2 linked regions of the Macaca mulatta genome follow. The main gene of each other region encodes a partner of the protein of the gene in region 2 in a complex. Links are inferred from orthologs where the notes say so. Each region holds a gene or a part of one and is shown on either strand. Other genes may lie near its edges.

Region 1 (5,326 bases), on a different chromosome or scaffold from region 2:
GCTCCTTTTTAAATGTCTGTGGCTTAGGGACCCCTCTGTGGTGATGCCTCGATCTAGAGACCTCTCTACTTGAGAGGAGGTTTTCAGTTAAGGGTCCTTCCTGGAGTCCTTCGAGTCTGGTGGCCCCTCTGTGGCCTGTCTGTCTCAAGAGTCCCTTCTTGTCTCACCCAGCCTCACAGGTCACAAGGTTGTTTGTCTCCAAAGCTTGTTTATGTTGGGACCTGGTCTTCAGCCACCCGCATCCGCCCACACACACTCTGACGCTTCTCCCAGCAGAGAAGCACAGGGTCTGGCAAATGTCCCCTGTGGTCAGAGCTGGCTCCGTCTGAACAGACCCATTTTCTCTGCCGGGATCCACCCTTACCTCTCTCCTCAGGGCACCAGGGCAGAGTGCTGAACCCAGGACCCCACAGATCCTCCCCGCTCCTGTCTCCCCATCGGGAGATAAGGGTCCTGGAACGGGGTGTCTCTGACTCCCTGCCCCACGACGGGTTTAGTACAGGCACTCACAGCCCCCTGGGGTGCGGTGGGTGGGGCTGGAAGAGGCATTCTCTTTTCCGTCCCCCCGTCACGCACTCCGGCATGCACTGTTGCTCGATCGTCCAAAGCTGCTTCCTGAATTCCTGTCTGAGCCGGCTCTGGGGGAGGGACCTGGGAGCCCAGGAAGAAAAAATGATCTCCAGGCTCCCTCCAGGGTCGGCAATGAGACTTACCGGGCAAGGAGATGGGGTGGAGTGAGCTGGAGTCTCAAGGCTGAGGTTTATAAGCAGCAGGGAAGGAGAGAGCTGCTTACAAGCCCGGAGGTGTCAAATTTCCGTGGTGGATTCTGAAGACCAGAGACAGCCCAATCAGGCCTCTTGCCCTGAACCCTCAGGCCTGGACCCGGGCTCCCTGCCAGCCACACGAGCGCCCCCACTTGGTCAGGGAGAGGAGCTGTCTGGACAGATTTCATTCAGCAGGGGTCCCAGGGTCCTAGTCCTTTCAATACTGGGGGCTGCTGCCACCACACCCCACGTCTAATCAGGAGTGTGTATGCTGAGGGGGGAAGAGGGAGGAAACCAATTGAGGGAGCTCAACACTGAGAGGCCCAATCTGAGACATACACGGAGGCCCCTTAGAATGAAACCCCACAAAGGATGCTACAGCCCAAGATCCCTCAAAGAACCCCAGGCTGAGGCCCCACACACACAGGGGGATCCAGGTTGAGAACCCCATAGAAGAGTCCTGGATTGAAATCCCTCTGTGGGTTCTCAGACTCCCAAGACTAAGTTACTCACTGAGGGTCCTCTCAGTGAGGCCCCATGGAGGAGCCACAGACTAAGACCCCCTCAGCAGAATTCCCCCCTTACCCGGGTCAACCAGCACAGTCAGCTGCAGGTACTGCAAGGCCCGGCTTGGGGTGAGACAACCAGTATCCCTCCCAGGACCTCCTTCCCACCTCTTTCCCCTGCACCATCCACTGCTGCCTAAAGAGAAGGGAACGGGGCAAGCAAGGCTGGGAAAGAGACAAGGGCCGCCTGTTCCAGCCCAGGAGACAGAGGGCGCCTCTGTCTGCTCCTGGCCCCTTGCCCCACAGGGTGTTCGTCTGTGAAGGGGTGGAGTCGGTGGGGGGGTCAGCGGGGGAGGGACTGTTGAAGACAGGTCTCCACACACAGCTCCAGCAGCCACATTTGCAGCCTCGGCTATCTGTCCAGAACCTGCTCCCACCTCAGGCCCAGGCCGACGGTGAGTACCCTGCCCCACCGGGCTAGTCCCTGGCCTGCCAGCTTCGGGGAGAGGGGTCTTCAGAAGGGCTCCAAGAGGCTGGGGCCCATAGCACTGTGGGGCACTAAGGATCTGGGAGGAGTCAGTCAGAGTGAGGGCAGTTTGGGATTTGGGGGAGACAGGGTTTGGAAGGTGGTGATGAGAGACAAATGAACTGAAGGTCGGAGAGAGAGCTGGCAGCTCAGCAAAGGAGGAAGTCAGTGGGGAACCCACCAAGAACTTCCTGGCCACCTGGCCCTCCCACAGGGAGCCCTCAAGTCCCTGCCAAGGCCCCCTCTGTCTCCCAGGTGTTGGGAAGGGCCCCAGCCCTCCCCTGCCTCGCCTCCTGTGGGGTAAGAAGAAGAGAGCAGATACAACAGCTGTTTCTGCCCCCACCTCTCTTGCCAGCCTTAGTCTCTGCCACCCCCACCCTGCCTTGCCAAGAGCTCAGGTCTCTGGGGAGTCTGGGGGTGGCAAGGCGAAGCTCCCAAGATATGGGGAAGTGGGGGATGGAGGGTGCTGTACCCCTTCCCAACGCTACCTCCACAGGACCTCCCCTTTCTCCTCCTCCCCTTTTTGGCCCAGACCTCTTGACTCCTCTTTCCCCCAATTCTTTCCTCTTTGTTTTCCCATCTGCCCTGCCCCCAAGTCCTCTCAGAACTGCCACCACATAAAATCCCAGGCTGCTCTAGGGCTCCAGGCGACCTCCAGCTGCCCCTCTGGCATGGAGCAGGTAATCAAGCCACCAGCATCCCTCCCTCAAGCACCCCTTATCCCCTCATCAGCCACAGCTTGGGTTCCATCTCCCCCATGTCTCTGTGACAACCGCTTCTCAGGTCCGGAGTTCAGATGACACTCACAAGGGCCCCATTGAAGAACTGGGATGTCATTCGATCGGGGCCATTGTCCAGCCCCCTAGGCCTGGGGAAGGATGGGGACATCTGATCCGAGACACCTGAGCTGCCCCCCCTGGGGTTGCGGAAGGCCAGACTGTCCCAGGGCCAAAGGAAAGAGGCCCCCCTTGGCAGTCTTCTCTCTCAACAGACCCCTCCTTTCTCCTTTCTTCTCCTACTCTCTCCCAGCCCCTTGAACTCAAAGGACTGCATGCTCTCAGCCCTTTATCTCCCCCAACACATACCAGCCCCATTCCCCTTGCTCCCACTATCCCCAAATCAACCAGGAGTGAGCAGTCGCAGGGACAATGCCTGCAAGTCTCCTCTCCCCTTCCCTGGGAACCCTGGCTCCAAGGAAAAGGCTCAAACATTCCTCTCTCCCCTTCTGCCACCCACTAGATGAAAGGGATAATTTTGCAGAAGCAATGGGAGCATACCCCAGAGAAGCCAAAATGACATGTTCAGGAGAGAACAGAGTTGAAGGACCAAAAGGGGCCCCCAGCTGCTGACAGGAAACTCAGAGTCAGTGAGACCTCCCTCCCCTAGAAGCCTTAGGCCACCCGCCCACTGGGGCTGCCACCCCCTCTACCAGGCTGACCGAGGGTACCAGACTGACTTCTTGCTAGGGGTGGGCAGCAGAGGGAAGGCTGTAGTGGACACCCCAGCCCACCACCCTCAACAGCAGAGCTTGGCTATACTAGGCAGGCAAGGTCCAGGGTAAAAATAGAGCCAGAGGAAGCATGGCCTCGTCCTGTGACCACCCCTGCCTGCCCCACCCTCCTCAATCCCTGCCTGGGCAGCCACTGCAGACATCTACCACAGGCCTCTGGAGCCAGCCCAGCTCCAACTGCTCTCTCTCCATGCCCTAACCCTGATTCCCTTTGGCTGGGGTACAGACTGAGGGACATGGAGAACAGGTCTGCATTTAGGTCTGCTGGGGTTTCCCTCACATTGTAAAATCTCAGGGAAAGATCAATTGCAGTTGGGCTTTAATCCCACAGTTATTTGAGCTGTCAGCCAGGGCCAGGCCTGAGGGCTCCCCTCACCTAGACCCTGGTACTCTGGGCCTGGTCCTCAAGGCTCACTTCCATGTTGGGGGTGGGTAGGTGCACTGCTGCAATGGGCTCTGAGCTGGAGACGGCGATGGAGACCCTCATCAACGTGTTCCACGCCCACTCGGGCAAAGAGGGAGACAAGTACAAGCTGAGCAAGAAGGAGCTGAAAGAGCTGCTGCAGACAGAGCTCTCTGGCTTCCTGGATGTAAGTACAGAGTGGTGGAGTGGGAGTGGAGTGGGTGAAGGTTGGGGGAATGGGGTGGGCACCCCCTTGCTGTCTCCCCACCCCACCTCCAGCTCAGCCCAGCCTCCTTCTTTCCTTTCCCAGGCTTCTCTCCTGGATTTTTCCAGGCTCCCCTACTCCAGCTGGGTCAAGTCAAAATGCCCCGGTTTATTGATCACCAATATGTTATTGATCACTATAACAAGTGTTAGGCCCTGTGTAGATTCATCAGTAATAAGACTCACAGACTAGAAGGGAAAGATTGATAATTAAAAGTAAACCATGAACTCCAGGAAGTACACAGAGCCTTAATAGATGTGCCAGAAAGGGTTATGAGAGATTATTAACCTGATTGAAGTAAGATGGCTTTCCTGAAGAGGTAGCACTTGAGCCATGGATTTCCATTGGAAGATTATCTAGGTAAATGCAGACATTTTAGGAGGAAGTAACTGAATGAACAAAAGCACAAGAGAAAGAAGAATGTGGTGCATGCCAGTAGTTTTATTCGACTGGCATGAAGGATATAGAAAAGTAGGCTGCAAAGGCTAACCAGGGCCACAAAGTAAAGAAGCCTCAGGATATAGTAGAAAGTGCATCAGTTTAGGCCGGGCATGGTGGCTCATGCCTGTAATCCCAGCACTTTGGGAGGCCGAGGCAGGTGGATCACATGAGGTTGGGAGTTCGAGACCAGACTGACCAACACGGAGAAAACCCGTCTCTACTAAAAATACAAAATTGGCCAGGCGTGGTGGCGCATGCCTGTAATCCCAGCTATTCGGGAGGCTAAGGTAGGAGATTGCTTGAACCCGGGAAGCGGTGGTTGCAGTGAGCTGAGATCACACCATTGTACTCCAGCCTGGGCAACAAGAGCAAAACTCCGTGTCAAAAAAAAAAAAAAAAAAAAAAAAAAAACGCCGGGCGCAGTGGCTCAAGCCTATAATCCCAGCACTTTGGGAGGCCGAGGCGGGCGGATCACGAGGTCAGGAGATCAAGACCATCCTGGCTAATCCGGTGAAACTCCGTCTCTACTAAAAAATACAAAAAACTAGCTGGGCGAGGTGGCGGGCGCCTGTAGTCCCAGCTACTCGGGAGGCTGAGGCAGGAGAATGGCATAAACCCGGGGGGCGGAGCTTGCAGTGAGCCAAGATCGCGCCACTGCACTCCAGCCTGGGCGACAGAGCGAGACTCCATCTCAAAAAAAAAAAAAAAAAAAAAAAAAAAACAAAGAAAGTGCACCGGTTTTGAGGTTTTATTGGACTGGGTTCAAATTCCAGCCCTGCTACTTTCTAGCTGTGGGACTTTGGGCATATTTATTTAACCACCAATTACCAATTTGTTTCTTCTCTAGAATGGAAATAATGAAACATACCTCACGTTATTTGTATTAGAATTAAATTAGACAGTGCTTGTAA
Region 2 (5,352 bases):
TTTTTAAATTAGCTGGGTGTGGTGGCACGCCTGCGTGTACTCCCAGCTACTTGGGGAGACTGAGGTGAGAGGACTGCTTGAGCCCAGGAAGTTGAGGTTGCAGTGAGGCATGATCACCACTGCACTCTAGCCTGGGTGACAGAGTGAGACCCTGTCTAAAAAAGAAAAAAGGAAGAACCAACGTTTCTCCTTTTTCAAAATAAGCTGTCAACAAATTAAAAATGAAGAGACAAAACCAGAAGAGGTTTTTATCAATTTTGTTTAAGAAAGCATAATGTCGGCTGGGCACGGTGGCTCACACCTGTAATCCCAGCACTTTGGGAGGCCGAGGGAGGTGGATCACCTGAGGTCAGGAGTTCAAGACCAGCCTGGACAACATAGTGAAACCCCGCCTCTACTAAAAATATAAAAATTAGCTGGGCATGGTAGCAAGTGCCTGTAATCCCAGCTACTCAGCAGGCTGAGTCAGGAGAATCGCTTGAGCCCAGGAGGCACAGGTTGCAGTGAGCCGAGATTGCACCACTGCACTCCAGGCTGGGCAACAGAGGGGGACTCTGTCTCAAAAAAAAAAAAAAGAAGAGAGCATAATGTAACAAGACCTTCATCTTGACTGTCCTTGGGTGAACTACTTAAAGCTTTTGAACCTCACTCTACTCATCTGTGAAATGGAAATAGAACAACTACCTCTTACAACAACAAATTAAGTAATGAATGGATCTAACTGAGCCAAGCATATATAAAGTACAGTACTAGATACATCTTAACAGCTTCCCTTCCTCAGATTTGCAATCTAGAATGGAAATCTCAAAAACTTAAAAGTATTCAAAACTTAGTATATTTTTTTTAGAGATGAGGTCTCGCTTTGTTGCCCAGGCTGGTCTACAACTCCTGGGCTCAAGCAATCCTCCATACCTTGGCATCCAGAGTAGCTGGCATTACAGGTGCAAACCACCATGCCCAGCTTGACAGCTTATTTTTGAAAATTACCAATAAGGCGTACAAAGAGTAATATCAAAATATCACTTTTAAGTCCTCTCTGTTTTCTGATCCCATACTGGACACATCCTCCTGCCCCAAAATGAAAACAACCTTTAGATATCTCAATTGACAAGAACGTTAAAATTTCACTTAACTGGTTACTTGAATTTAACCTAAAAGTTTTCTCAGTTTTTAAATTAGTAAATATAGTGATGAAATTTATATGTAAAATATCTACATAATATTCTTACAAAACACCAAAAATCAAATTAGAATTTTCATTCATTTAACCATAAAACATTTTGCTACTAGGCGGCGCAGGCTTTAAGACATAGAACCTCCTCATTCCTCTTTATGAAGCTTAGTGCCCTGAGAGTGCCGGATAATAAGGCATCTTGTTATCTCATTTTTAAAAAACTTTTTAATTTTAGGCCTTTACAACACATGGCAGGTCTTATTAACTCCCACACTGAGTATTCTCTCTTCAGCTAGATTTCTAGCCACTTGAGCTACTAATCACCACTTAAGAATGGTAGAATAAAAACACGACAATCTCTTTTTAAGCTTTTTAGCACGACTCAATTTTAAATATGCGTTTGTGCACTCCTGTACATTTTCAGTCACCTACTTAGGGTTATTTACCAAGATTATACATTCAATACTGTATAGCAACTTTTGTGGATACAGGGATCTGCCTACTGGGTCTGTGGGTTATGGAGACGTTGCTCGCCCCCATTTTGTTGTTGTATTATCACTTTCACCAAACAACACAAGAGAAAGACAGATTTCCGAAAATAAAGATGAGGCTGACTTCTGACCATTCACATTGGGAATGGGACAGAACCTTCTATTTCGGTGCAAGAACACAGCATATAAAAACACCTAGAGCAGAGGGTCCCAAATGAAAATATTCTTAGACTTACACGAGGATTTCTTAAACACCACAACGTACCTAAATGTACCTGTATTTTCCTCCATTGGCTGTACTGCTTTGAAATTTAAAAATGGAGCACTCTTTAACGAAGAGTGGACATTTCCAACCCTACAACTAACTCACTCGTATGTTCTGTCAGTTACTTCTAAGTTTGAGAAACGTCAGTGTCCTTTCCGAGAAACAGTCAAAATTAGCAGGGTTCTCCCCTATCCCACCACCCTCAGGAATGGGACGTTCACGAAAGCCAAACGAAAGGGGCGAATTAAGAGAGCAGCAGTTCAATGAATTATTCCATTGCTCCTTTTAAATATCTGAGAACTTAAGTAGTTCATCTGGTTCCACTGCTGTCACAGCATCTGACATACAGTAAAAGGAGTAGAACAATTTCCCCTCTCGGAAGAAGTCCTAGCAGGAAGGTGACGTGACACCAAATCGACCCCCGGGGAGAATGCTGACAACGTGGGCAGAAAACAACTATGGGGAAGGGGTCGTCTTTTTGTGAGCAACTCCGCTGCCTCCCGGGGAACATGGGAGCTGCAAAGCTTACTGCTAGAGCCATGAAACGAAAGAGAGAGGGGGAGAGAGAGGCCTCCATAGGGAAAGGGAAAAAAAAAGGGATAAACCGTAGAGAATCAGAAAAGGAAGCGTTTTGTTTTGGGGAGGGGGAAGTAGAAGGGAGAAGTGAAGGTCTGCTTCCTAAGCGATTTTTCCCTTCCCCCTCACCCGCCGCTACACTCACAGGCCAGGCCGCCGCGCTGGGCACTGCCCTTGGGCCGCTCCCAGGCACGGACGCAGACCCCTTTGCGTCCCCGGTCCCCGGCCCCCGGCGCAGGCTCCGCGGCCGGATAGCAGGAGAGAGTCCCGGGCAGCCGCCGCCCTCCCCCGCGCCCGCGCCCCCGCCCGCCGTCGCCCGGCTCCCGCTTCCTATTTTCGGAGTACACACCCTACAAGGAGCGGAGCGAGCAGGCCTGGCAAAGACCTGCCCCCGCGCGGGGCCTCGGGTGACGGACAGGGGCAGGCACTCGGCGCAGCAAGGATGGGGGAAGAAGGGCAGACGAGGGCACCGCCAGCTGCGAGCCAATGCCCATCCCCCGCGACCAGACTCTGGGCCCACCCGCCCGGGCTGAGCCGGCTCCCGACGGCCGGCGCCGCCACCCCCACGACTCTTACCTTCTCTTCATCAGACAACTGCTCCTCCAGATCCGCCATCTTCCTTCTGGCGACAAACCGCGGCGGCGGCGGCGGCAGCGGCCACCTGACTTCCCCGCTTCCGTGCGGTCCTCAGCGCCGCGCGCCCCCGCTAAGGGAGGGGCCCGCCGCTCAGGTCGCCGCGCACGCGCCCCGAGAGCCCCGCCTCCCTCGACCCGGCCCTCGGGGACTGAGCGCGGCTGTGCGCGTGCGCGGGTGCCTGGTGGCCGGGCGGGGGACGTTGTCTCCCGGGGCCGCCTGCAGCAGGCTTGCTAGCATCGTGAGTGTAACGTTCTCTCCCCACAGTGACCATATGGGCTCAGTCTGCGATGAGTACATTCTGAGCCCTTCGTTATGTTTCTATCAAGTCTTGAACTCTGCCAGCTAAAATCTGAAAAGGTGGACAAATAGAAGCTTTTTAAACATTGTTTTTAAAAAAATATTAAATAGCCGGGCGCGGTGGCTCAAGCCTGTAATCCCAGCACTTTGGGAGGCCGAGACGGGCGGATCACGAGGTCAGGAGATCGAGACCATCCTGGCTGACACGGTGAAACCCCGTCTCTACTAAAAAATACAAAAAAACTAGCCGGGCGAGGTGGCGGGCGCCTGTAGTCCCAGCTACTCGGGAGGCTGAGGCAGGAGAATGGCGTGAACCCGGGAGGCGGAGCTTGCAGTGAGCCAAGATCACGCCACTGCACTCTAGCCTGGGCGGCAGAGCGAGACTCTGTCTCAAAAAAAAACAAAAAACAAAAAACAAACAAACAAACAAAAAATTAAATAGTCGGCTTTCATTAAAATACACACACACGACCCGCTCCATAATTGAAAGATTGCTCTTTATATATTCCTTTATTCATCCAACAAATATTTTCTGGTCCTTTAACGGGGTGCGGGGCACTGTGTTAGTCTCTGGGGCTATAGTGTTGAGGGGGAAAAAAACAAGCTAGACACGCCTGTTCATAGCACCACAATTCGCAATTACAGAGAAATGGAACCAACCTAAGTGTCCATCAACCAATGAGTGGATAGAGCAAATGTGGGTATATACATCATGGAATACTACTCAGCCATAAAAAGGAACGAAATAATGCCTTTTGCAGCAACTTGGAAGGAGCTGGAGGCCATTATTCTAAGTGAAGTAACTCAGGAATGGGAAACCAAATATTTTATGTTCTCACTTATAAGTGGGAGCTAAGCTGTTAGTGTGCAAAGGCATAAGAATGATAAAATGGACTTTGGGGACTGGGGAGGGGATAAATTACTACATATTGGGTACAGGGTACACTGCTCAGGTGATGGGTGCACTAAAATCTCAGAAATTACCACTGAAGGACTTACCCATGTAACCAAAAATCCACCTGTACTCCAAAACTATTGAAATAAAAAGAGAAACTTCTGTTCTCAAGAAGCTCATTTTTGTACTCATTAAACAAACATATATTGAACAGTTGGGGCCGGGCGTGGTGACTCACGCCGGTAATCCCAGCACTTTGGGAGGTCTCGGCAGCAGATCATCTGAGGTCAGGAGTTCGTGACCAGATTGGCCAACATGGAGAAACCCCATCTCTACTAAAATACAAAAATTAGCCTGGAGTGGTGGCGCATGCCTGTAATACCAGCTACTGGGGAGGCTGAGGCAGGAGAGTTGCAGAAGTCATTGCAACCTGGGAGGTGGAGGTGTCAGTGAGCCAAGGTCGCGCCACTGTACTCTAGCCTGGGTGACAGAGCGAGACTCTGTCTCAAAAAACAAAACAAAACAAAACAAAACAAAAACAGTTGGGGAAGGCACTGTACTATTCCAGGGGAATACAAAGTTATGTTAGACATGGATCCTACCCTCCTGAATAGGGTTGCCATATTAAATATAGGACACTTAATCAAAAGTGAATTGCAGATAAGCAATCTTTTGAAAAGTATGTCCCATGAAGCGTTGGAGACATACTTAAAAATTACTCATTGTTTTCAAATTTTACTGGACATCCTTTACTTTTATTTGCTAAATCTAGCAACCCTGCTTTTGAAGCTTGAAGTTTATGAGAGATTAAACATGTAATCAAAGCTGCATATATATGAATCAATTGGGAATCTTGTGAAAATGAAGTTGCTAATTCAATAGATCTGGCATGAGGCTGGAGAATCTGTTTTCTCCAGAATACAGCCTGTGGAATAACAGGCTCCCAGCTGATGCCAGTGTTCCTGATCTGGAGACCACGTTTTGAGTGGTAAGGCCTTAGGGTTTAAGACAGGCGTTC

What was found. The genes of interacting proteins can lie anywhere in the genome.
Region 1: the proteins of CAPZA2 (region 2) and S100A1 are in contact, whole or in part, in an NMR structure (PDB 2KBM), measured with the Rattus norvegicus proteins. The link is inferred for Macaca mulatta from reciprocal best matches to the Homo sapiens genes CAPZA2 and S100A1. Residues at the interface, in NP_001009180.1 of Rattus norvegicus: Thr267, Lys268, Ile269, Asp270, Trp271, Asn272, Lys273, Ile274, Leu275, Ser276; in NP_001007637.1 of Rattus norvegicus: Ser44, Phe45, Leu46, Asp47, Lys50, Asp51, Ala54, Lys57, Ile58, Glu61, Leu78, Ala81, Leu82, Thr83, Ala85, Cys86.

What each region holds. Positions count from the first base shown.
Region 1 is NC_133406.1:113,404,667-113,409,992, reverse strand, and holds the start of S100A1 (protein S100-A1), read left to right. Parts: upstream 1-1,666; 5' UTR 1,667-1,725; intron 1,726-3,742; 5' UTR 3,743-3,755; coding exon 3,756-3,896; intron 3,897-5,326. UniProt on the Homo sapiens protein: Small calcium binding protein that plays important roles in several biological processes such as Ca(2+) homeostasis, chondrocyte biology and cardiomyocyte regulation.
Region 2 is NC_133408.1:156,397,153-156,402,504, reverse strand, and holds the start of CAPZA2 (F-actin-capping protein subunit alpha-2), read right to left. Parts: upstream 3,225-5,352; 5' UTR 3,122-3,224; coding exon 3,083-3,121; intron 1-3,082. UniProt on the Homo sapiens protein: F-actin-capping proteins bind in a Ca(2+)-independent manner to the fast growing ends of actin filaments (barbed end) thereby blocking the exchange of subunits at these ends.